3 linked regions of the Caenorhabditis elegans genome follow. The protein of the gene in region 3 interacts with the protein of the main gene of each other region in a pairwise test. Each region holds a gene or a part of one and is shown on either strand. Other genes may lie near its edges.

What was found. Proteins that work in one complex are often made in the same cells at the same time.
Region 1: the proteins of unc-5 (region 3) and max-1 interact in a two-hybrid assay, tested with the Caenorhabditis elegans proteins (one study listed by BioGRID).
Region 2: the proteins of unc-5 (region 3) and apb-3 interact in a two-hybrid assay, tested with the Caenorhabditis elegans proteins (one study listed by BioGRID).

Annotation. Positions count from the first base shown.
Region 1 is NC_003283.11:13,105,445-13,113,646, forward strand, and holds the start of max-1 (PH domain-containing protein), read right to left. Parts: upstream 4,892-8,202; coding exon 4,790-4,891; intron 1,929-4,789; exon of another isoform or gene 1,657-1,928; intron 1,512-1,656; exon of another isoform or gene 1,364-1,511; intron 627-1,363; exon of another isoform or gene 412-626; intron 1-411.
Region 2 is NC_003279.8:7,850,647-7,860,244, forward strand, and holds apb-3 (AP-3 complex subunit beta), read left to right. Parts: upstream 1-3,103; coding exon 3,104-3,180; intron 3,181-3,294; coding exon 3,295-3,373; intron 3,374-3,423; coding exon 3,424-4,134; intron 4,135-4,216; coding exon 4,217-4,339; intron 4,340-4,759; coding exon 4,760-4,894; intron 4,895-4,943; coding exon 4,944-5,937; intron 5,938-6,206; coding exon 6,207-6,628; intron 6,629-6,803; coding exon 6,804-7,100; 3' UTR 7,101-7,207; downstream 7,208-9,598. Other genes in the region: taf-5 (Transcription initiation factor TFIID subunit 5), read left to right, coding at 1-260, 311-501, 1,119-1,634, 1,809-2,183, 2,231-2,367, 2,738-2,852; Protein nud-2, read right to left, coding at 7,476-7,640, 7,907-8,022, 8,072-8,462, 8,548-8,757.
Region 3 is NC_003282.8:5,523,202-5,531,422, reverse strand, and holds the start of unc-5 (Netrin receptor unc-5), read left to right. Parts: upstream 1-3,084; coding exon 3,085-3,166; intron 3,167-3,497; exon of another isoform or gene 3,498-3,518; intron 3,519-3,782; exon of another isoform or gene 3,783-3,803; intron 3,804-4,720; exon of another isoform or gene 4,721-4,741; intron 4,742-5,053; exon of another isoform or gene 5,054-5,074; intron 5,075-5,515; exon of another isoform or gene 5,516-5,536; intron 5,537-6,551; exon of another isoform or gene 6,552-6,575; intron 6,576-6,637; exon of another isoform or gene 6,638-6,658; intron 6,659-7,130; exon of another isoform or gene 7,131-7,152; intron 7,153-7,609; exon of another isoform or gene 7,610-7,630; intron 7,631-7,772; exon of another isoform or gene 7,773-7,793; intron 7,794-8,007; exon of another isoform or gene 8,008-8,028; intron 8,029-8,221. UniProt on the Caenorhabditis elegans protein: Receptor for netrin (unc-6) required for axon guidance. Mediates axon repulsion of neuronal growth cones in the developing nervous system upon ligand binding.

The DNA.
Region 1 (8,202 bases), on a different chromosome or scaffold from region 3:
CATAACTGTCTGGTACTTTTGTAGTAACTGCTTTTCTAATAAATTTCAAAGATAGTAGAAATGTAAGCTTCAAGTCTGCACAAGCTATCATGTGGTCAAATTCTTGGTTGGAGGGCTAGGCAGTCTTGTCACACAGTAATAACACCGAATTGAGTTCCAGTGTCATTCTACCGTATTTTTCTTTGTTCATTAAATATTATATTGATAAACTCCTACTGGCACTGGCACTTCAATTCTTTTCAAACAGGTGGTGCAAAAAAAAAACAAAATTTTGGCTCACAGATGAACCAAAAAAGCCAGCAATAAACACATTGTTTTGCACTTCTTTGCAATTTTTCACAAAATGACAACTGTAGTCAAAATTTCTGAAAACCCTAGAAAAATGGTTTATGAGCACTCTACAAATTTGGCTTTTTGCAAAACAAGTTGACCAAAAAAGAAAAGGAAAAAAGCAGTGCTAGCCGTTTTCGGAACCAATAAAATGTTGCATTTCATCTCTCTAGAGATGTTTGAGACTACGCTACTCTATTTGAAATGCATAAGAAAACGAAAAAGAGAGCAAAATGATCGGACGTTGCAAACAGAGAGAAGAGCTTCGCCATGGAAGAAGCCTATATTCACAACTGCATAGTAATTGCGAAATTAATGAGAATAAGAGTATTGAATATGACGGATGAGTGAAGGAAGAAGAAGGAGGAGGAGAACACTTGAAAGTGCGCGAGAAACGAGATTTAGATGAGAAAGTAATTGGATTCATAGAGTGGAGACAGAATCACGTCACACCGGAAACAGATGTTATCGCACTTAATTGACAGATTGTCAATGATAAAATAGCATTTGATAAGGTGTTAGAAAGTTGTGAAAAAGCAAAGAAAACTGAAATAGGAATAGATTGCAACGAAAAATAGTGTGTTAAAACAGTTCTGGAACCTCTCAATGGTATTTTGAAGAAATTGAGTAGTGCCAGTGGGGAAACTCCTCAAAGTTACTGACCAAAGACTACAGTTAAACAATTCAATTTTATAAAAAAATTTACAGTCAAAAAGTGACAGTTGGCAACTTTTACACAACTCACTATTTTGGAAGTCGTTCAAAGGAAGTTTCCGCGAATTGTAAAATTTCGTTTTTTCATCTAGAACATCGTGAAGGTTCAAATCTACGGAAATTGCAAAAAGAATCTCACTGTGACTGGAAACCACAAAAAACCATTTTAAAATTGTTTTAAATTTAATTTTTAAGCCCATTGGTACTTCATCTTTTAAACTATCAACTTCGGGGTTATTTCAGATTTTTTAAAATGATTCTACAACATCACAACAGCGTTCTTGATTTTATTTCTGATCAAATGTACAAATATGAATTAAAACTTTTTCATAAAGCTTCTACCCTATTTTTTTGAAAAAAATGTTCAAGTGAAATAGGTCTAAAAGCCAACTGCAAATGGAACACGTTTGAAGAATGAGAAAGAACACCCTTCTAAATCTGAAGTCGTTTTTCGACGTTGTGACGAATGAAACGGCAACAAAAATTTGATTAATGAGGCGGAGACAAATCCGAATTTCTACGGAATTTTCCCAATTTTTTTTCTTTTTTCCTTATTCCCACCTACTGTACAGTTTCAAAAATAAAATGGAAAAGTGGTGAAAATGAAAGTGAACCCGAGTGAAAAAAAGCACCTGTTGTAGACACTTTCTCCCATTTTGTGAAAAGGTGTTCAGCAGATGTGTGCCAGGCTCTCAGACTCCACTACTCACAGTTTTATGGGCAAGTTGGGTACTTGGAGCTGCGCAACTCGAAGATTCTATTAAATTGGAGTAAAATACGAAAGTAAAGAAAATTGAGGAAAAAGTGATGAAAATTTTAAAGAAATCTGAGATGATTTCACAGTGAAAACGAACACACTTTTGATTGAAGTGGTTGAGAAGGAGTATATACGACGTCTTCTAGAGTTTCCAAAACGAGCTGCACTACCGAGGTTTACTGACATGCCATAGGACAGCGTAAAACGGGACGGAAAAGCCCAAAAAAGAGAGATTTGTGGTGGCGTATACTTGTGAATTTGGGAAGCCTGGCACACAAATGCATGCATTTCGAATAGTAGTTCTAAATTTTTTTTTGCTGATCCGTTTGGTTCCAAATGATAAATTGCGGAAATTTGTCAATTTTTAAATTTAAAGGTTTTGGAAACAACTTTAAAAAACGATTTTTCAAACAAAAAAACGAAGCGAGAGAGAAAAGGAAAAACATTGAAAAAAAATATTTGAACACGTGTAAAAGCTCTCAAGATTCTTTAATACTTCAATAGAAAACCAAGTTCAAAGTTTTGAAACAAATGGAACTGATTTCTGCTGAAGGTCATAAAATTTGAAACTGTTCAAAAAAAATTCCGACTATTCCTTTAATTTTTAAATCGTTAAGTTTATGAAGAAGACAGCTATTCTCAATTTCAATAAATAATAGGTGTGGATATTGAACTGCTTCAGCACAGATGTTATCATATTTGGAAATAAGTCTGGTTAAAAGTGTTTTTAATACCTATAAAACCAAATCGTTTACTCTGAAATGACGTGAAACAACAGAAAAATGAACTTCTCATCCTGTATTCAAACACACACAAAATGCCTCACCCACCATAGAAAAATAAATTTCCAAATTGAAAATTCAGAATTACAAACGAGTGAGAATGAAGAGAAACAACTATACGAGTGAGTTAAAGATGTACTAGTACTGGACTAAACCAGTTTCTTCCATCATTTACAACTGTTTAGCTTCTCATTTAATAACCGTAATCATCTCCGAGTAGCAGCAAAAGCGGATCCAAGGAATTAGTGGATGAATAGAAAATTGTGTAGTACGAAATATTCATTAGTGATCATGGAACAAGGTGTCAATGAAGATTAATGTGGAATCAGAGTGTAGGTTTTTGGAGGACATTTCACAACGAACAATGATACTTTGTGGGTGGTATCAAGGCGCCAAAAATTTGAATGTGAAAAACTAAATTAGCAGGTAAATTCTTGAAACTGAGAAAGCAAAATGGATAGATCCTTTTTAAACAAAATTATCTAAAATAAATATTAAGCAGTTTCTGAAAATAGTAACTATTCTCAAAATTCTGTTCTCTAAAATTGTTCAATATTCTCAGAATATCTACTCCATTTGAAAGCAGAAATTCTTAAAAGTAGAAAGACTCAACGCAGTTAACAAATGGGCTTCTTCCCGTTCGAAAACTCAAACTCAAGGGAATTCAGTCAGAGGTTCAGAGTGCTCTATTCTTCGTTCTAAACTCAAAAATCAACCAGCCGTCACTCATTCATTATGCAAATTTCAAAGCTTTGTCTTCTTCCAAACTCTCGGAGTCAACTACCCAGAAAAGTAAGAATTTGTAGAAGAAAAAAGGTATTCAGACTGGGTTGGACCACCGGATGAAGAAGAACAAGAAGAAAACGATGTCGGAAGGGAGACGTCAAGAAATGTTGTCAGGAAGGTAACCTGATATCTTGGGGGAACCAACATGTTGGCATCTACAATGTTTGTGCTCATGCTCATAATTTTTGGACTCAAAATGTGTTATGTCGTTAGTGCAGATTTGGTGGGAGCAAGTATTGTTTGAAGAAAAAAACAGATTGAATGAAAAAGGGAACACATGGTTAGGATGTATACTAGATTTGAAAATAATAAAGATAGTTTTCTAACAAAAGTTTAATTCTATATTTGGCATCTCAGTCGTTTTGAAGTTGTTAGAAAGTTTTAAAGTCTATCGTAAGTTATCAGGTCTGTAAAATCCCATTTTTAGAAAGGTTAGCTACACTTCCCGCGTTTTCTGTTTTTTCTAGGACGCAAAATATGCTGGGCTAATCCGGAAATTCAAAATTTTTCTTAACATTTTTTTAAAAACTAAACTAAAAGCACAACTACCAGGAAAATGTTTCCGAATGTTAAATGAACAGGGCGAACACACGTATATAGATTATCATTTGAATAGGTGTAGAAGAGGAGAGGAGAGAACACAAAATGAGTTGGCATACACACGGAATAACTAATAAGGACTAATATTGTTCATTTAATATGACTACTTGTTGACCACTGCACATCCCTGTTTTTGTACCTTTCCCATTCTAAAAAACAAATGTAACAATGAGAAGTAAGTATTCAATGATATTTAGGTATCAATGTTATATTTTTTAATGATTTTGGAAACTATAAAAATCGAATTGAAAGGAATGCTATACCATATTTCTAAGTCTCAAAAGTTTTAGAGTGGCTGTACTATTCACTAATTTTTTAATGAAATTTTATTATTGTCTGACCTAAACACTAGTAGGCAGTATGTCCTTTTTTGAACTCTAGAAGGCGTGGTTTTCAGAGTTTGAAATCACAATAATTTTGTAATTTATTTCATGTAGAAAATCTGTCGTCAAATTATCAAAAACACGTTTTACCGCAATTTGCAGAGGTGGAGTAACCCTTTAAGTGCTGAAAGAGAGCAAAAGATCATAAATAAACAGAGAGTTATAGGGACGAAAATAAAAAAAACCGTGTTGGGCTCAATTTTTAATTACTTCAAGATCGATTTTTATCAAAAATGAAACGGCAAATATCCAAAAATTTGTTAACAAATATAACACATTTTTGAAACGATTTTCTAAGGATAGAAACAAGTCCTCATGAGAAGTTTATCTTGAAAAAATAGAGATTGAACTGAACGTTGGTAGTCACTCGATTTTCCTTTTTTTTTCAACTTTATAATCAGATTAACATACATTTTCCCTACCAAACAATCACTCACCTCTTTCATTCTCTTTGTAACCCATAATCGTATTCTCGATGATTTTGCGAGTAGCTCCTCATCCTCTGGTGAGCGTAATGGGGATGCGCTTGAGTCGCTCATTCCTTCAAAAAATCATAATTTTAACAAAAAAAAGAGTGAGACGAAATAAACAAAATAGAGTTTTTAGTGGGGGAGAGACCGAGAAAAGAGCAGCGAAATAATTGTTCAAGAGAGATGAAGAAGCCGATTTAGAAAAAAATAACGGAAATAGAAGAAAAAAGAGTTGTCAAAAATGATGACTCTCTTATGTCAGTTCGAATTTCTTTGTCATTTTTTCTTGTAAAAAGTATAAGAAAAAATAAAGTAAAATGAAAAGAAAGAATGAGTTGTGAATAGTTGTGGTAATAAAATACGATGTCCATCTCTTGACCAATGTCCTCCGCCCCCACCACCAATTTTCAAAAGCTATGTATTAGCATCAAATTGCGCGATTTTGGGAGGTCTGGTGGTGCAATCCGGGGGCCTCTCTTTCCCTCTCATGCTCCCCATTTTCTTCAATTCGTCTCTTTCTACAACACAAACCACTTGCATAATTTGTGTCTTCTTGTATGTATCTCCTCAACAAATCTATTGCACAATGTTCCATCACTCGAGATTTCAGATGAATGACGATAAGAAAGTTTTGAGGAAGATTGTTTATACTTGAGATTTTGGGAATATTTAAAAAGTTGGATAGTTCTCAATTTGGAAAAATTCAAAGCGTTTTTTTTCAAAAAAAATAATCTACCTATTCTTTATATTTTCAATTTACGATACCCACAAGGAGACCTACGCCTACGTGCCTACACTTTCCTTGGTCATACCTATGGTTTGAATTTTTGGAAAGTTTTACCCATATTATTTTTATGAAATTCTGAACAAAAAACCACATATAACGCTTTTTTATACCCAGACCAATTGGCAATTAAACAAAGATCCCACTTTTTTCGAAAATATGGATGGCTGGCTCATCCTTACAATATTTACGGCAATACAAATTGAATGCACATTAAATTGAACGAGAATAAAAACATTTAAAAATATCTAAATTTGGAATAATTCAAATTCAAATTTATTTTCCCCTAACTTTGATATCTCTTTCTGAATTTAAGACTTTAAGAGATTCAAATAACAGCTTGAGCAGACTATGCTTGAAGTCTCAAATACACTTTTGGTTACTTATTTTATGATTTTTCAAACTTAAAAAAACATAGAAATCCATGTTATATTTTCTATTACAAATACAGTAGGACGTAAATTGTTCATCTAGGTAAGAAATCTATACCAAAAAAGAAAACAGAGGAATCCTCTCGTCAACAAAAAGACCCATTGGACCTCACGGCCTTTCGATGTTGGTTTTCTTCCTCTTGCAGCCGTAATCAGATAACGAACAAATTTCGCAACATGATTCAAAAACACATCTTTTTTTGGTGTACCCACGCCCCTCTTCTATCACAAAGTAAAATGAGAAACGGATGGAGAGCTCATGAGCTCTTTGCTACCAGTTTGACGAGTCTTCCAAAGACGGGACGTCAGACGGAAGGACGAAGACGGGCGGTGGGAAGAGGACGATGAGCGCAAGAAATTAATTTTGTGAAGCCGGGAGAGGCAATGGAAGAAGACGAAGTAAAGGGAAAAAAGATGGAGAAAAGGCATTGAAGAGGGCAGTTCTGGAGCTTTGAGGCAACGGAAACAAGAAGAAGATCATTAACGAGAAGAAGGTTGGAAGAGACCACCGGAAGGTTTTAGAACGAACCAAAGAAAAATGACCGATAGGAGATGGATAAGTGTCATTTGATGAGAAATGGAGTTGTATTAACAATATTCCTAGTCTTCGAGTACTATTTATAGGAAATTAGTCTAATTTTAGGTTTTATAGTTTTTTCAGTTTTTTCAGTTTTTTTTCATTAAAAAAATAGGAGTGGGTACACAAAAAAGTCCGTTTTCTTGTCTAGAAAAATTTGCTCAAGTTTGAAATTCTCTAGATATATATTGTAGGAAGAAATTGACTACAAAATGATGACTATATTTTGTCGACACTGTGTGCAGGAATAACAGTTTTATCATAAACATCAGCTGCCGAAACGTTGATTTGCATATTCTTCGATGCACCGGTTACTTCGAGGCACCGGTTTTTAAACTATGCTAGAATTCTGTGATCGATTTGAAATTGATGTCACTGTTGAAGTTGCACTACATTATGTATGTACTCAATTTTTTGATAGTGAATATAGGCCACTTTCAGACCCTTTTGGCTTTTTAGATTTTGAGCTTTTGCGACTAAACATCATAAGTAGGGAATGGTCAACAGTCAAAAAATGATGGTATTATTTTTTTTCAAGTTTTTGAAAACCTTTACTTTGCGTATCATGGATCATCAAAAAATGAAAAGATACATATCTGAATTTCAAAAAAAAAACTTTAAAACTATAAAGCCCTGTGAAGCATCAAAAAATAGACGAGAAAACTTTTCGGACCACCACAATGTACGTGCACTTCCAACAACAAAGCAACAATTCAATTTGACCTCCGACAACGCATTTTCGTGTTTTCTTCCGGTGCTTTTCAAAAAACGAAAACACAAAACAACTCAAAGGCATTTTTAAGAAGTGTTGCAATTTTCTGCTCAAAAAATTCGATTTTGTTTACAATTGATAGAAGGGAATAAATGTGCATTCCGTGTCAAAATGCAATAAAATTGTGGTGAAGAAGGAGAAGTTCGTGTGAGGCAGAGAAGAAGATGTTTTGTAAAAGTAGAAAAGAGTCAAAGAAGCAACAGAATATTGATGACAGCGTTTTTTGAACTACAAGCAAAGTTCGTTGAAAAAAGGATCCCCTTGACTCTAAAGTAGACTCTCATCAAAAGATCAAAATGTCATGATTTTCAAGGGATTAGTTTATACATAGTTGTCACTTTCAATAGTACAGTAATCCCTTTATGAGATTTTACTGGAAGAAATTTTGAAAGAGAAAATGGGAAGGCCACCCAGAAAAGTATTCGAAAAGGCTTCTCCTTTTCTCCCGCGCTAAACGGATTTTCATCTGTGGTTGTGCATGGTGCACATTTTGGAAGAGATAGATGGGCGGAAAGGACCGGGAAAATTAGAAAGTGAAAGGAAAATGAGAGAAGGTTCTAGATATACTCAGTGTTTCCTGCAGATTTCCTAGTCATATTTATCATGTTCAAGTTTTAGGACGAGGGAAGCTGTGAATGAGTAGCACAAAAAATCAAAAATAAGATTTTTGAATTCAGATTTCAAGCCGAGATGGTACACTCTGACATCACATGAATTTCGTAAGTAGCATGAATCGTAGAAAGATTTTGAATTATGAATCCCATTTGTAGTTGTTTAGAAAAAACATTTAGTACTGTCCGTACTCTGCAGGGTCAC
Region 2 (9,598 bases), on a different chromosome or scaffold from region 3:
AATTGAAAAGCATGCCGCAACTGCCCGTATATTCTTCAATCGATTCAAGATTTTCATTCCTGAATGTTTCTCGGAATTTGTATATCAATTATCACTAATCGAAGATGCAATGACGTTACGAGCCAATGAACATGTTCACATTTTACGAGAAAATAAATTTCTTGTTCGACTTTCGAGGCCAACACTGAAACATCTTGAATCAATTCAAACGAGAGTGATTGGTGTTAAGAATATAATTGCAAAACATATTTGTATTGAAAGTAAGTATTCATTTTTATATACAAAAAAAATATAATAATATCCGTTAAAGATGCTGACGAAGTATCCACAAATCGAACGACAATAGAAACCCAAATGGGTGGAATTCTTGGAGTAACTTCGAAAAGTGATAAAAGACATAAAATGATGTTTTCGGTGTTAAAAGACGAATTGATGCAGAATATTGAAAAACGGAAGACAAAAGGAAAAGATTGGAAAGATATGGGAAAGAAAATGCAGACGGTAAGATTTTTAAACAATTTTTTTGAATTTTTTTGTACTGACAAGGAAAGATTTTCATCTTACCCTGAAATTTTAAAAATGTTTATCAAATTTTGTTTATGTTAATGAAAAAAAACATAAGAACATATATAATTGTTTTCTAAAAAAGAGAAAAAAATTGTCAATATTTTAAGCTAATTTTCAAAAAATCAAAAACAAAATCATTAGATTTTTCGATTTCCCAAAAACCGAAAAACGTAATATTTTCGTTATTGTTTTTTGTGAAAAATCGAAAAATGAACACCTTTGCTGATAACATATCGCTGTAACATTTTAATCGGCATGTTATGTTGAAAAATCTAATTTTAAAACAGTTGATTTTTTTCTGAATAAATTTCCAAAAATAATGTTTGGCTACACCTAAACTCTTTTGAAGTCTTCAAAAATATTCAAAAGTATCTTTTGGAGCAACTCTAATGGCCTGAAAATAATGCAAAAATACACTGAAAAATACAGTCAAAATTTAAATGGTTGAGGGTGTAGCTGTGACGATTAAAATTTTTTAGTGTGTTTTTTGAGTCCCTCTCCCTTTGTTCTGTAATTTTCATAGTTCTTTGTATATATCTTGTTATTTCCAGCATTGCCCACAAGCTGACCGAATTCCTCTTCCACCAATCAGCGAACATCTTCGAGAGGAACGACGAAATTGGCTTCGAGACGTCGGAAAAATGGCCATCATTTCAGCTGAATCACCCGTTTCCATTTGTATGTACACAACAGTAAATGCACCAATTGGAGTGGCTTCATGTGATTTTACGGATGATTCAAGTCTTATTGCAATGGGTTTATCTGATTCTTCAATTGTTATGAATGCAATGGATCCGATGAATAAGATGAAGAAGCTTCGTGATATGGAATTTCTTGATAAAATCGATATTGAAACTGCGGATAACGTGCAATCACAAATGTTTGATTTACAAGGATCAACGACAAGTGTGAGGTATACAGGCCACGGTGGTCCCGTGTTTTCTGTCAATTTTTCACCGGATCGACGACTTCTTATATCATCTGCCGGAGATCGAACAGTTCGACTTTGGAGTATGGAGACTCAGAGGAATGCTGTTATTTATAGAACACCAGCAGTAGTTTGGCAGGTTTGTATTTATATAATTTTAACTAGCATTTTAACTGAGATATTTAGTGTCGTTGGTAATCTTATTTCAAATAATAGATCATTATCCGAAATTATCGAATTTAACTAATAAAAAAACTGTCTCATAAAGTTTCAGCGCAACGTTCTACATTATCTAATCTGAAAACTATTACAGGCTCAATTCTGTAGTCGTGGATACTATTTCGCTACAGCAAGTGCCGATAAAACAGCTGCAATGTGGTCGACAGATCGAATGCATCCACTTAGAATATTCGCTGATCCATATGGAGACGTTGGATGTATTGATTATCATCCAAATTGTAATTATATTGCTGGAGGATCAGATGATAGATATGTTCGAGTATGGGATGTTTGTTCTGGTACTCGAGTTCGCATTTTTAGTGGTCATAAAGCTTCGATTATCGCTGTCAAGTTCTCCCCATGTGGTCGGTATATCGTCTCGTTAGATGCTATTGGAAATCTGATGATTTGGGATTTGGCATACCAGAGATTAGTTGCAGCTGAAATTACGGAACAAGCTGGAACGAAGGTAGTGAAATATAAAAATGATAATATCATATTACTAGTTCATTTCAGGGTTCAATTACATTCTCTCGTGATGGTGGTGTATTTGCGGTATCCCATGGAAATTCAAGTATTCAATTATATTCACTTGATACTCTTATTGGAACAGTTCTCGCCGCTGGACAAAATGATTCCTACATTGAGCCAAAGTAAGTTTTAATTAGGAACAAAATACTTGGAGAAATATACAGGTACAAATATTATGAAAACGCAGAAAAATCCCCTTACGAGAAAGAAGAAAGTATAAATTTTATTCATCAAATTAGCCATAACATTTTTTTAAACCACTTAAAAACAGGACAAATGCTTGAAGATCGGAGAAATCGGCAATACTAAAAACTTTCGAATTTACGGTTTTGTCGCCAAATACCTAATGAGACCTATGGCTTGGGGGCGGGGCGTATTTATTCGGCAGTGGAGCGCGTTTCCACTTCAGAATGTCTTTTCTAAGTCCTCATAATATATAGTTTCTCGAAAACTCCTACAAGCTTTTTTCAATCAATTTTTACAAAATTTCAGAGTGAATCTGGACGGTTTCAATATAGGATCATATGCAACAAAAGAAACTGCAGTAATCGGACTCCATTTCACTCGTCGAAATCTTCTTCTTGGATTTGGTTGCTTCGGGCAATAACTGTCATCTTGCCTGCTATTATTTGAACATTTTATCTTTAAAATACATTATCTCAAAATCTGGTCTTTAACGTGATCCTCTCATTCATATTAAATCTCTTTTTCACTGGTGGAATAAAACCTTTTAACAAATTTTAAATTTATTTTAAAATCCCTTTGGCTTTATTTTGGAATTATGTGTTCATTCCGACACTGCAAATATTTTATTACATTTTTTTCTCTTTTTTAAAAATAAGGTTATTTTATTTTCAGATGACGTCGTTCGTCGAAGGGTTGACCAGCCCTGAAATGGAAATTGCTGAGGGCGGAGTCATCTTGGATAATAGGACGTAGGTTTTTTTGTTAACTTAAGACTAATAAAAATACTTATTTTTTAAAAAATTTCAACAGTTACATTTTAGGTATAACTGTACGTAACATTTTTCGAATATATCTACTTTCAGACGATTCGCTGACCTAAAAGCCATGCTGGATAGTAATAAAGATAACCTAAAAGTTGATGCAATGAAACGAATAATTAACGTGAGATTTTATTTCCAATAAATTATAATTATCTAAACTTGAAATTTCAGCTGATAGCGAAAGGAAAAGATGTCAGTGAACTATTTGCTGCAGTTGTGAAGAACGTAGCAGCAAAAAATGTGGAGCTGAAAAAGTTGGTATTTGTTTATCTTGTACGATATGCCGAAGAACAACAAGATCTTGCACTTCTCTCGATATCAACTTTCCAACGGGCTCTCAAAGATCCGAATCAACTGATTCGTGGAAGTGCTCTCCGAGTTTTAACATCAATCCGTGTTCCGATGGTCGCACCAATCATGCTTTTAGCCATCAAAGATGCAGTACGTGATATGAGTCCATACGTGAGGAAAGTTGCTGCACATGCCATACCAAAACTATACTCACTGGAACCTGAACTCGAACCTCAGCTTGTCGATTGCATAGATTTTCTTCTCGCTGATCGAAGAAGTTTAGTACTCGGTAGTGCTGTTTACGCATTTGATGAGATCTGTCCACACCGACTCGATCTTCTTCATAAACACTTCAGAGCATTATGTCGTGGTTTGGCAGATGTCGACGAATGGGGTCAAATTGTGATGATCAACATGTTGACTAGATATGCAAGACATGAATTGGCGGATCCAGATAGAGGACCACCCGATACGGATGTTGTACTTCTTCTCAACTCAGCTCGTCCTCTACTTCAATCAAGAAATTGTTCAGTTGTCATGGCAGTCGTACAATTATTTTATCATGTTGCGCCGAAAGCTCAACTCTCTCAGGTAAGTCAAGCGGAAAAAAATATGGCTTCAGAAATTTCAACTGAAAAGTTAGTAAAGTAAAAATAAAAACTCTTATTTCCAGATCGCCCGTGCACTTGTCCGACTTCTACGTGGTCCACGGGAGACCCAATACGTAGTTCTCACCAACATTGCAACAATATGCGAACGAAATCCGGTAGAGGAAGGAACTTACGCCATCTCAAAAGTGCGCTGAACGCAACTGAGAAAATAGCATGAAAAGCATGTAAAGACTGAGACAAATCTAGAAGAAACTGTTATACATTTATCAGTTTTTGAATTAATTTCACAAAATGATAAATTTGTGATAGCAGTGGTTAGCGTCTCAGTCTTAGAGTCACTTTCCCCGTTTTTGTGTTGTCTTAATCTGGATTGTCTGAAATTCTTTTAAAATGAGATATCTAGCTTTTTGAACGATATTGTTGCTCAATTGAAGTGCACTGTGATGTTTTTGCTCATAAGTAAATACATAGAATTCTTGGTTTTGACAAATGAGACAATCCAGATATTTTTACCAGTGAATTGGAGTGCTGCTTGGTTGTGTTTCAGTGTACTTGTCTTTTGATGGAACTTTTACATATCAAAAATCAATTTTTTTCACTCTCAGACGATGTTCGACCCGTTCCTAAAATCATTCTTCGTACGATCCTGTGACAGTTCTCTCGTTAAGAAACTAAAACTTCATGTGCTCACAAGTTTGGTTTCAGAAGCGAATGTTCATATCATTTTGAGAGAGTTACAGGTGAGAGAGGGTAATAAATTTTCATATGAAATTCTTTTTCATTTTTCAGACCTATGTTCATATGTCTGATTTAGCTTCTCCAGCTGTTGAGGCAATTGGAAGATGTGCAGTTCGCGTCGGAGCAGTATCAGATCAATGTATGACTGGACTTGTCCAATTGATTTCTTCTTCCGATGAGAAAGTCGTATGCTCTGCTGTAGTTGTCATCAAGAGACTTTTGCATGCTTCTGCCCCTCTGAATCTTCTTTCAAGGCTTATGAGGCTCATGCCGAATATGATTGCAGCACAAGCGCGAGCTTGTGTCATTTGGCTCGTCGCCACCCATGTCGAACAAGTTCTACACATGGCTCCAGACTTTTTGAGGCTTATTGCAAAGAAATTTTCGACGGAAAATGAGCTGGTTAAACTAGAAGCTCTGAAACTTGCAGTGAAGTTGTGGCTTGTGAAGCGTGATGACTCTGAAAAGATTGTACAATACGTATTCCAACTTGCCCGATTCGATCTCAGTTATGACGTTCGTGATCGATGCCGATTTTTACGGAATCTAATGTTCAATACGGAGATTCTTTCACAGCATATGGAAGAGATTTTCATGTCGAAAAAGCCAGCACCAGAGCTTATTAGTAGTTTCAAGGAACGTGATAAATTCCAATTGGGATCTCTGTCACATGTGTTGAATCAAAGATGTACGAAATACATTGATCTACCCGAATTCCCAGCAACATCAAGTGATTCGTTATTAAGAAAAGAAGCACATGCACCGAATGAATTGAAATTGGATGATAGTGACGAAGAAGAAGATGATGATGATGAAGATGAAGAAGAAGACGAAGATGAAGAAGAGGAGGATGAAGATGAAGAAGATGAGGAAGAGGAAGAAAATGAATCAGAAGAAGAAGAGGAAGATGATGAGGATGAAGAAAGTGAAGAGGAATCTGATGAAGAAGATGAAGAGGAGGAAGAAGAGGATGATAGTGAGCCAGAGGAGAAGCCTAACCCAAAACCATCTACTAAGAAACAAGCACTCATTCTCAATAAATCAAGTGAGTTTCAATCAAAACCGATTTTAGGGTAGCACAAAAGAATATTCCTGTAAAATCTCGGACCAAAACAAACAAATTCGTGAAAATACCAAGAAATAACTCTATCTTGGATTTATTGTAAACTTTAAAAAACCCCATTAACCACATTTGGTAAGGTATATATGCAAAACATGAAAAGTGTTTGAAGTACAGATCTGTAGAGTTACGGTATTATTCGTGGCTACAGTACCCCTAACCGTATTTGATTCTTAATATTCAAAAAAATTCAGAACCAATGAATGGTAAGCCAAAAACAGAAAGAAATGATCTCGATTTGCTGATTGACGTTGATTTCTCGGCCGCGGGAAGTCGTCAAATAATGGATGCAACTCATATCGAAGAAAAAGAAATTGAACTTTTGAATGTAATTGAAGGAAACGGGCTAATATTATCAATTAGTTATCCGCGTATTAATGATGGACAATACACGGCTATTCGATTTGGAATCACAAACAAAACCGATGGAGATTTGTTAGGAGTTGAATTAAAAACTGAAGAAGGTCTCGATGTGAAGGGAAACTCGATTATTGGAGATATTCCGTCTGGAGCACGAGTTTCTGTTGATTTGCTCGTAGATTTTGGAGATAGTGCGACAAGTAGAGAATGGATACTTACAAGAGATGATGGTCATGAGAAGCATTTCAGATTTGAGGTAATCTTTTAAATAGTTTCAGAGGCTTTTAAAATTATTTTTTCCACAAAAAAAATTGAAAAACGTAAATACTCCCTTGATGGTTAATATTTTATATCAAAACTTGTATAATTCCTGACTAGATTCCACAATCCGCATCTTTTAAAGATAAACTAAATTTTTTCCTAAATTCTAGGTCCCATATGGTGAGCAAGTTCAACCAATTCGTCTGTCTCCAGAAGATATTTCAAAAGAAAGAAGTCGTCTTGGAGGTCTCAATCGGCATGTGATACAACTCGAAAATCCCATTAATCCTTCGTCAATTGCTCTATTTGTTAACGCATTTTCTTCGGATTTGACCATTTTCACTTGCCAGACACGTTCACGAAAGGATGTTTGTATTCTGACAGTTTCAGAAAAATCGATTGAGTGCTGTTGTGACAACTCGGTGATAGGACGAATGCTGGCGTTCTCTGTCTCCAAAAATTGCTAGAAAGATTAATTCAAATTGTATTTATTTATTTATTTTGCTCACTTTTTCTTGAAATCATTCCTTTACTAACTATTCATGGTGACGGATATATAAATTTTTAACAGAAAAATTAGAAATATGTAGGCACTTTAGAAATTTGGAAAATAATGTGGGTGAATGGCGAACGTGGAACTTATATTGAGCAACAGTAAGGCGGGGCAAATAAAATCGGGGTCTAATACCAATTGGGTGGGAATAAAACATAAGCATGATACAGGATGTCATGGAAAAGAATAATAACGGAAAGAAACGAAGGAAATGATGAAATGGAGGATCCCTGAGTGAATGAAAAGTCACAGTATGCGAGAAAGGTGAGAAAAACCAAAAAATGAAATGTTAAGCCCGTGTCGTTGTAAGATGACTGGAATTGTTGTTAGACGAGTTGTTGCTCACGCGAATCGTCGATAAAATTGAATCGAGCCGCTCGACTTTTGTCATCAGGTCTTTGACGATTCGATTGATGCAAGCACCGGCGCCCGTACCGGTAGATACTCGTTGGCTCTGAAAGCTATGTAAATGTTGGCTGAGAACTATAAATGGGTTAGCAAATATTGTTTTTTCGGTCTATTCTGCATCTAGAGATGCTATCGTTTATAGTTGTGAGGGAAAAAAGAATTAGAACTCGCTGCAAGAGTTTTTCGACTAAATGTTTTTCATTCCGAAATAAGGTGTGAAGCTATTAATTGATCGAAATTTGCAGGTCTTCTTTGAATTAATATTTGGATATTTACTTTCAAAAATCCACCAAAAAAAGAAAATTTACGTACTTTTTCTTGAATATTTTTATTGTCATCGATGCGCACTTCGTCAATTTTTGCAATAGTTTCCTCCATTCGAACATCTTCGTGGTGCTGCACGTCTTCCATGAAAACATCTTCCGAGCCTTAAATAGTACTAGTTATTTTCATTCTCAAAATGCGACAAATACTTACTCATTTTAAACTCTTCTTTACTTGGACCTGGGGATGGCTCGTCCGGCAGAATTTCTGGATCATTCCTCAATGGTTCTACAATCAAACGTGGCCGTTCTGTTGTTCGAAGTTGTTCTTCTCGTAATCTATGCATTTCTTCAGCAGCAACTTGCCGTTCATAAAGCTCACTTTCCAACATTGCTATCTTTTCAATAGCATGATCCAGTTTCGATCCGAGATCAGATGCTAGATATTCCTTATTTCTTTCTGATGTTTCGAGCACATCGTTTCTCTGTTCCAGTTTTCGAATTCTTTCTCTCTGACTTTCACATTGTTCATGAAGATGTGAGTTTTCTCGTCTTAATTGCTCTTCGACTTGTGCAAATTGTACACGGGAATCGTCCTGTCGATCCTTTAAAATTCACAAAATTCAAATTATAGTTGAAAAATTTTATAAAGTTTTTTTTTTCAATTTTAATGTAAAAAATAGTACCAACCTTGTTCCTAATTTGCTCTGTGGTCATCTGCTGTACTCTGGTTTCTGCTTTTTTCAGTTGTGTTTTCAAATCATCCAATTCTGAATCCATCATTTTCTCAATTTCCGCGGAACTTGTCTGGAACTCGTTAAACTCTTCGCGCATTTGCAAGAAATGACCAAGAAGCTCATGGTGCGGTAGTCCGCGAATTTGATCCTCAGACAAATCCATTGATTTCTGATGATCTGAAAATATTAAAGGTTTAGAAAATTGTTCAGGATATTCAACAAAAATTATGAATCGTAGGAAAAAACGTATAATGCCGCCTGTGAACACACTAAACCCTTACAACGTTCGGCCACGTGTGGACAAAAAGTGAGAGAATAGAATGGACATTTGGGAAAGAGAGAAAAAGAGAACTGGTCGAACGGAGGAAAACAGAAGCAACTACGTATTAGTTGCTACCGCAAATGGATGTTTTTTGAGGTTTAACGATGTTGAAGAAAAGTCTCAGTATTCTTATAAATCGGGATATCTAAGGTCGCCATCATCTGATAGACAGCTAAAGTCATCTCTCTGAGGAAAGATGGAAAATCCTCCAAAGTTTTTGACACAAGGCATTCGAGCAAACAAAAAAGTGGGGGTGCTCCGGCTGCTCCGGCCGCCGTGTGCTCTGTGTTTGTCCTTGCTCCCATAGCTCGTCCGCACTTCCGCTACAAAAAGTCGAACAGCTGTGCGAGTAACACCAATAGGCAATAATTTTAAGATCAGATAACCTTTGAAGATTTCAAAATACTTTGAAGGAAAATTTTACTGTTTTTTGGGTTTAATACACTGATGAAGTTCAAAGAAATCTGCTATAAGAAACTAATTCCGAAAAAATTAACACTTTTTGTAAATAGAATAGAATAGTCATTCAAGAAAATCTGTGTTAAAAGAAAAATTGGTAAATTTCTTCAAAGAGTATTCCAGAAATGGCAATCAATTTTAGTAATCGATAATTAAACTTCGGAAATAGAAATTAAATTCATATAACAGTCCAATTTCCCACACGAAATTCAGGTCAAACTCA
Region 3 (8,221 bases):
ACAAAAGATTGACATTTTCTAAAGATTTGTGGAAAATAACAAGAAAAATCGGTCGAAATTTGTTTGTTTATGTTTTCAGTTTCATTCCTTTTTTATGTGAAACTTTTTTTCAAAAAAAAATTGCTGTTTCATGTTTTCTATTTCTTGTTTTCTCCGAAATTAGCAGTGCTGTGTTAGATATTTACGTTACTGATTAACTGATAACTGGAAATTATATGCATCTTCCTACCACCATCTAGTGATAAGAAATTGGAAACGCTCTTTTGAAACATTTTATGTTCCATAATAACTTGCCAACTTAATGACCAATTTGGCAGACAAGCGTGCTGAAATTGCTTTATTTTAAGAGATATCAAATTTAAGGAGACAGTTTATATAGTAGTGTTGTAGAAAAAATAGAAAAAAGAAGGGTGTGAGTACTACTGAAAATTTGATGGGAAATCGAATCACTTGTTGTCTCTTTTTTTTGGGGGGACAATTTTATTTGAAAGAAATTCGTGTTTTTTTTCTCTGTTGCAGTTTTATTTCATAGTTTTGCTATTTTTATATTCGCCGTTATGAATTTAATTGTGAGATCATTTTCCCTTTCCTAAATTATCCCTAAAATTATTCCTAAATTATTTGCCAAAAAAATTAAAAGAATATTAAAACTGTGTGAAGCGGCTAAATTTTCGAATTTCAACATTTTGAAAATAATTTTTTTTTATTTTCGGAGTTAAATGTTTTTATGTACTTTTTGACCTGTTAGACCAATTTTCTTTAAAATCTTAATAAACCCTAATACACCGATTTCAAAAATCAAAAGAATACAATTCAATTTAAATTTCTTTTTAATTTTCTGATACCTTTTCAAATTATATTTAAAAAAAATATATTTTATATCTGCTCAAGTATTAATTTTAAGTTTATACAAGCGTGTAAGTACGTTACCAATAAAAATGTTTGAATCATTTTTTCAATTCAAAATTTAACTTTTTGTTTTCTACTTGAAAAATCAATTATTGCAGTTTTACAATGCTTTCAAATATCAGCCTAACTTCCGATATACCATTGTTACTGCTATGCTTTTCTTGATTACATTTTTTTTCTTTATATTCATTGTATTTTCAAATCTGCAAAACTTGACAAAATAGAAGCGAAAACTTTCTTGTATTATTTTTTTTGAAACAAGTGCAAAACAGTAGTCCAAATATTTGTTATCTTATCTTGTTTTTTTTTATTTTGTCAAATGTTTTTGTTCAAACCTCTCAAATAATTTTTAAGACACCTATTATTCAAATTTGTAGTTTTTCCTTCCAACCCATGAAAACCTACAGTAACCCTTCAGGGAATCTCCCGCCTTTACCACGAGAATTTCTCTTTATTATGTTAATTTCAAGTTTTTGAGTTAGGCGGTACTCTTTTCATTCACTTGCTCAAATATTATATTTTCTCACAATTTCTCACATAATCTTGCTCTGCTTGACACATAGGACGATTAACATTGAAAGTTTAATAAAATTATAACATTTGACTTTGAAACAGTAATTTTTTTAAAAAAGAAATGTTCAGATGTCACTAACATTTCAAAAATCATGGTTTATTTATCAAAATAATGAAACAGGCTTTTACAGAAAAAATTGTTCTCTAGCTAACATCTCTAGTGAATAGTAAGTATTTTCAAAGACGACTTTTCTAGAATCTGCGTAACAATGGAATTCAAATTACCACTCCCCATATAATGATCTCTAAAAAATGTTTTTAGAAAAATTTTCCATTTTTTCAGATTCCATGCTTTGTTGTCTTAATTTCCACTATTTTCTATTCCTTCAGAATTCAATCACTGAAGATGAAGCACACATTTTTTTTACAGTTTCAATTGGATCTTTTGTGAATTAAGAGTATTTTTGTTTTATTGAATCCATTATTGTTATTGAGACAATAAAGCTTATGAGTTCCATGTAAGAAAAAGTTGGTCTGAATATTTATCAAATTCAAAATTCTTCAATAATTGAACGGGTATTATTCCAATTCTAATACAACTGTGAAATTATATAAAATTCATCAAAACTATGAAACATGTTTTTACTGGATCAAATTTTCTCTGGATGATTTTTTTTCATCAAAATCAATTTTTTCTGTATCCTGATTATATTCAAACTAAACCAAAGTGTGCAAATTGAAGAAAAAAAATCAACTCCCTTTTTTTAAGTTCGTTTAAAATTCCAATAACCTCCTATTTGTTTGAGAATTTAGTTTCTTGAAGCACAAAATATTGTTACAGTTTCAGTAAGGCTTCTTTTAAATTCAGATTTTTCTCCGACATTGCCTCGTATGATACCTTTGTATTTAATCCGAAAACAAATTCTTGAGTGTTCTATGATTGTAAAAAAGTCAAATAAGTTTTCTATGAGAAAATACAAAAATGTCTCTGTAGGTGAAGTGTAATAACATTGCAAACAGATTTTTACAGTTTTTTGAGCAGCAAGGAGTTTACATATCAGCACGAAACATCACGAAAAAGTTATCTAAAACTTTTTTCTAGATAGTTGAAATTTATAAAATTTATTTGTCTGTTTCAGTAGATTCACTTTATTTAATGCAACTTCAAGACCATAGTCGTATGTCAACAATTGTAACCCCTATATTGTAATTAAATTAAAAAGTTGACTGTTTCACCATGTTTTTTTTCAAAATGTAATTTCAAATAAGTTTTGATGTTCTGTGGTTTTTCGTTCCATTTTTTAAATAAGAAATAATTTTGGATCATTGAAAAAAAATCAGTTTAGAAAGTGAAAAAAATCTATAATTACTAAGTTTACAGACAGAAAAGTTCACTATTTTTTCCAACCCAAATCTAGAAAACATTGAACTCTGTCTGTGGTCTGGTTGGTTGTCCAATTTGTATTTTTCGGACCTTTATCCTTTCTTTAACATCTGGTTTTTATTACAAGAATCGCCGCTCTCTCTTCCTCTTGTTCACATGTCTTCCGTGCTCACAAAAACCTTTTTTATTTCTTCACGGGACCTCCACAATTTTTTCATTTTGATTTTTATTCTTTCCATCAGTTTTTCCTTTTAATTTGAAAATTTGAAATTCTACAGATGGAGGACGACACGCCCGATGTGAGTTCAGATTCCAATGGAGATGCAGCATACAGCGATTATTTCTTGGACTACAAATCAAGTGAGTTTCTGATTTTTGAATTAATCCCTCTTATTTTATCCTACTTATAAAAAAGTTAAGGACTATCTTTTCTTTGTTTAGAAAATATGCCAATGGGTGCCCCCGGCAGGGGGTAACGGGGGTAAATATTAGGAAGTATTAAGAGGGGTCAGTGAATTGTTTGGTGTTAGTTTCAAGGAGCTATGACACTTTTTTTTGATGATTTGTCAGTAAATACTAGATTTGTTTTACTTTTGGTATCTGTATGGCCACGGTTTGAACATTTAAAAAATTTGAAAAAAATTACTGTTTCAGAAATTGTATAAGTATTTTAAATTTCCTTGTGATGTGATTGCGTTTGTTAAAAAAACATTTATAAAATGTTTATATAGTTTTGCAAAAAATTCTGAACTGTTTTCCCAAAGTAAAAATTCCCTCCGACGAGGAGGCAGACTCTCTCGCTTTGCAGACTGCCTTCTGTGTTTTTTTATAAAAACATTTCTTGAAACAATAACGTTACTTTAAAACTTACCTCAAAATTATCTTTGGTTGTAACATTTAAAAATCACGTGAATTTTGCAGAGATTCTATACATTTTCACAATTTTAATAAAGTCTGATCTATGAAACGTTATCAATCACACCTCTCCTTAAAATTGGGAATATAACGGAAAAGTTAACAAATTAAAGTTTAGTCAATATTTCTAAAAATTAACATTTCAAGAAAAATTTGATCAAGCAGTCATAATATACTCTAGCGCTTTCATTGATGGCAGGCAGGCGTTTTAATTTGCCTAACGTCTACCTGCCTTTTGAATATCCATTTTTATTTTGCTCTTTCATAAAATCAAACATGAGTTCACTAGCAGCCGACAGTATCTAGGTCTTGCGACTCATCATAAAACTATAAGTAGGCACAGAAACAGGCAGGCATTCTCTACCTTACTTCAGTTAGTCCCTTTCTCCAATTTCTTCCGTTTCCCACTCACTCATACATCATTGAACCTTTGAGAAGGTGTCCCATCTCCAAAGACACACGTGCCGCCACTTAATCCCAATTCTCGCCAGAACTCTTTTCACCACCACCACCAGTTGCTTCTTCTTCTTCTTCTGTTGTTTTTTTGTGTGTGTGCTCACCTCTTTCCCCTCTTCTCCAATCATCACCCATTCACACCACGGATGACTAGGTCCGATGATTTTTGCCGCCAAATGATATTGTTGTAACGTTTCCTGAGTCAATGATGATGACGACGTACCTGGAGGGGGGGGGGGGAGCGGTATTCTCTTTTTGATGGACCCCCCGTACATTCCCCCACAGGTATACCTTAATGTCAAATGTCAATCAGAACGAAAATATATGTTGTTGCTTTATTAAACTGTTGACATGTGTAAACAGAATATTTTACTTACGCATTAGTTTACTTTATGGCTCATAGATTCTCCAGTTGATAGATGTTGTAAAATTGGGAGAGGTTAATGGGTGAACGGGAGTGGTGTCACCTGTTTTCACATAGTTTGTATTATGACACTGGTTGCGATAAAATTTCAGTTTATAATCTGATAGTGAGGTCCAGCCGCGATAAAAATAAAGATTATACTAATAAATACGAGTATCGTTACAATATATATAAGATAGATGAAACTGTAAAAAATTTGAAATTTTTTTTTCAAATTTTCTTATCAAAATTTATATTCCCGCGATAGCACGGATTTTTAGAAGGACTATCTCACGAAGGCAAATTCTGAGTGCCTGCCTACCTTCAAGCTGGCCGCGCCTGGCTTTCTTATGCAGGATTTTTTAATTTATGGCGGAAATATACATACTTTGATGGTCTAGAAGTTTTAAACGTCATCCGGCGTTCGAAACAAAAGTGAAATATAAATTTAAAGCAACAATTATTTTAACTAGTACAAACCATTGGCGTATGAAATAGATGCAGTTATCTCTACAAAGTTTGAAAGTTATATGAAACTGTAATTTTTTTTTCTTAATTTTTCAAGTTTTCCCAACAAAATAGTTAAAAATTCTGTTTCCATGAGAGCATTAAATACCATATTTTCTTCCATTTTCTCCATTGTAGAATAGATTCGGGTGCAGATTATTCGAATCAGATCTACGATTAAAAAAAAATCAATTCAAAATTCAAATAATAAAAGAAAACAAAACTACTAACCTGTAAATTGGCAGTAGTCTATCTTTTGTGTGGTGCCTACACTGAAATTTTATTTTGTATTATGTTTTACATTGGTAGCGTTAAACACAGAAACAGAAGCAGCATCAATTATGAGAAAGTGTAAAAAATTGAAAATGTTAGCAATTATTTTACTGTTTCATATAATTTTCAAACATCGTAGAGATAATCGCATTTATTAACATCATGGTATCATCGTTCAAACAATTTATTCTTTCATTTTTGGTGATTTATCCAAAAGCTGTTAAATTCTCAAAATATTAATTTTCTTAAGTTTCCCCTAAATCAACTTGTTGTAAATTTTTTCAAGCTATCTGAAAATTTGCTAAAAATGGATGATAACTAGAAAAAATCGTTAGATTTAGCAGAATATTTTCCAGACGACTTTATTAAAACACTTGACCAACTTTTTGCGGTTAGAACTCAATCAATTTCCAGTATTCTTGGGAAAATTCAAAAAATGAAATTTCTGTTTTATGAAACTTTTAAATATTCGAAGACTTTATAACCTTGATTAGTCTAGATTTATCCTTTTCCAAAGTATTGTAAATGTTTCGAATATGACCATAAGAACCCCCAAATTCTATCTATTTCCGTCACAAAATCAAAAATCCTGGTGTTTCTGTGCGTCTCTCCGGTCTCTATCACTCTCTCGAATTATTGTGAAACGAGCAGTTGGTTTAGTTGGAAAAGAGCTTTCGGGTGTGATTTTTATGATGAATCGGCGGTTTTCTGGGGCGAAAAATAATCAAGAAAGTTGAGATGTATGGGAGGATGAAGTGGCAATTGGTGAGGAGGAGAAGCATGAAAAAACCAACAACTGAAAGACGTCAATGAGATGGAAAAGAGTGTAAAATTATTAGTGGAAACAATGATTGAGGTGGAAAATGAGTATATATATTTTTAGGGTTTTTGAGAAAACAGGGATAGTGGCAAACACTGGGAAAGTTTGGAGGAAGGGATCAGGAATTGAAATATACTACTCCCTACAGGTAATCAATTTTTTGTAGGCGTACGTAGGTAGAATAGCCAGCCTACATGGCGTTTACCGAAAAAAATTCAAGTTTTTTAAAATTCTTGAAATTTCAAGAAAAACTTTCTCATTCAACTTTTCCATATTTGGAATTACTTTTATCTTACGGAATTACATAAAAAAAGTCAAATTTTTATATGATTGTGTTGCTAAATTACAAAAAAAAAATTAATAAAGAAGTCGTTTGAATTTGATACAATGGAACAATAGAAAGTCAATTTTCTATGATTGATACAAGTTTATTGAAACAGTAATTTTTTGGAATTTCGGATAAACATGTTTAAAGTGATTAGTTTTACAAACTCACTGTTAAGTATACAATAAACATTGCTGAAACCGAAAAAAAAAGATGCTTTAAAGAATATAAGATTTGAAATTTTCTTCTGAGAATGGATATTTGAACTGCAAAAATGCAAAAACTTTTAAATTAAAAAAATAGGCCAACGAAAAAATGAATTACAGATAAAATCATTTGAAATTTCTGGCTTGATCTCATTAGCCCCGAGTTTAGTAAGTAGATTGTAATATTTTTAACATCGTTTATTTTTCTTCAAAAATGAGAACAATAAATTTAGAAACTAACAAAAGACATTTATTATCACAACACATATTTTCTGTTCAAAATTTCGAAACTCAAATTTTTCTCTTTCCAGATGTTTATAGGAGAACTAAAAAGTGTATTTGGAAAGTTGTTAGTTTGCTGTTAATTTTTTTATTCAGAAAACCAATAATTCTTAGAAGCTACAAATTATAATAAAGGCGCTGGCAAAAAAATCAATGGAATCAAATATATGAACTGTGAAACTTTTTTGATAACCTTTTGAAACAGTAAATTTTTGTACCGAATTTTTTTTGACAAGTCAAACCGCCAGTTTTAAAAAATCTAAAAATATGGGCATTCTTTTATTTGTTTCCTAAAAAATTCCTGGGATTCTGGATCAAAATTCCAAAAAATAACCAAAACAGCAAAACAGAATAAGTTATATTTGAAGAAACCTCGAAAAAATTCAATTATGATGCAGACTAAATTTGTACACCTCTTTTTCTAAATATAAATAATTTGAAACTGATAGGAATTAAAATATGTTATGTCTCCAAATTGCAGAAAAATAGTATCTTGGACTGAAGTCTGACAATTCAACTAAATTACCGAAATTCAAGATCATCTCTTAATGTCTTGATCAAAATTGCATGCTTGATAGGATTTGATATTGCATTCACATGATATACCTGTGAAACTCAAAAAGCGGATGGGACCCAATCAGAAAACCAGAAATTGTTAAATTTTCTCAAAAAGTTTTGAAACAGTAAATTTTTTCCAGTCACTTTTTTTTCGGAATGTCAAACCGCCCAATCTAAATAATGATGCTCATTCTCTCTATGTATCCTATAATTACCGTACATGAACCCAAATGTAACTGTCATTATTATATTCAAGACAATACGACATAAATAAGGAGACAGATACAGTAAGCGTGGTTACAACAGCAGATGTTGTTGCTTTTCTCTCCTCTTTTATTCGAATTACACCATATTTTACCTCTCTCTTCACATTTCTAATATGGTATGACAGAAGATCAGTGGTATCACAACGTTTTTTTGATTCGATTAAGATTATAGTAGTTCCGTTTCTCTGATTTCCCTCAATCTGCTGCTTCATCCTCTTGTTTTCTTTTTGAATCATTTTGGAAGAAGAAGAAACAGAAGAATTGACCTTCCTTCTTCTCAATTTTATTGTTTATAGACTCATCATGAGTATGTCCTTTTTAGAGGGCAAAAAGGAGCCAGCCGCGTCATTTCTCTATTTGATTTTTATTTCATTACGCATCATGTTTATGAGCGTTTTGAAAAT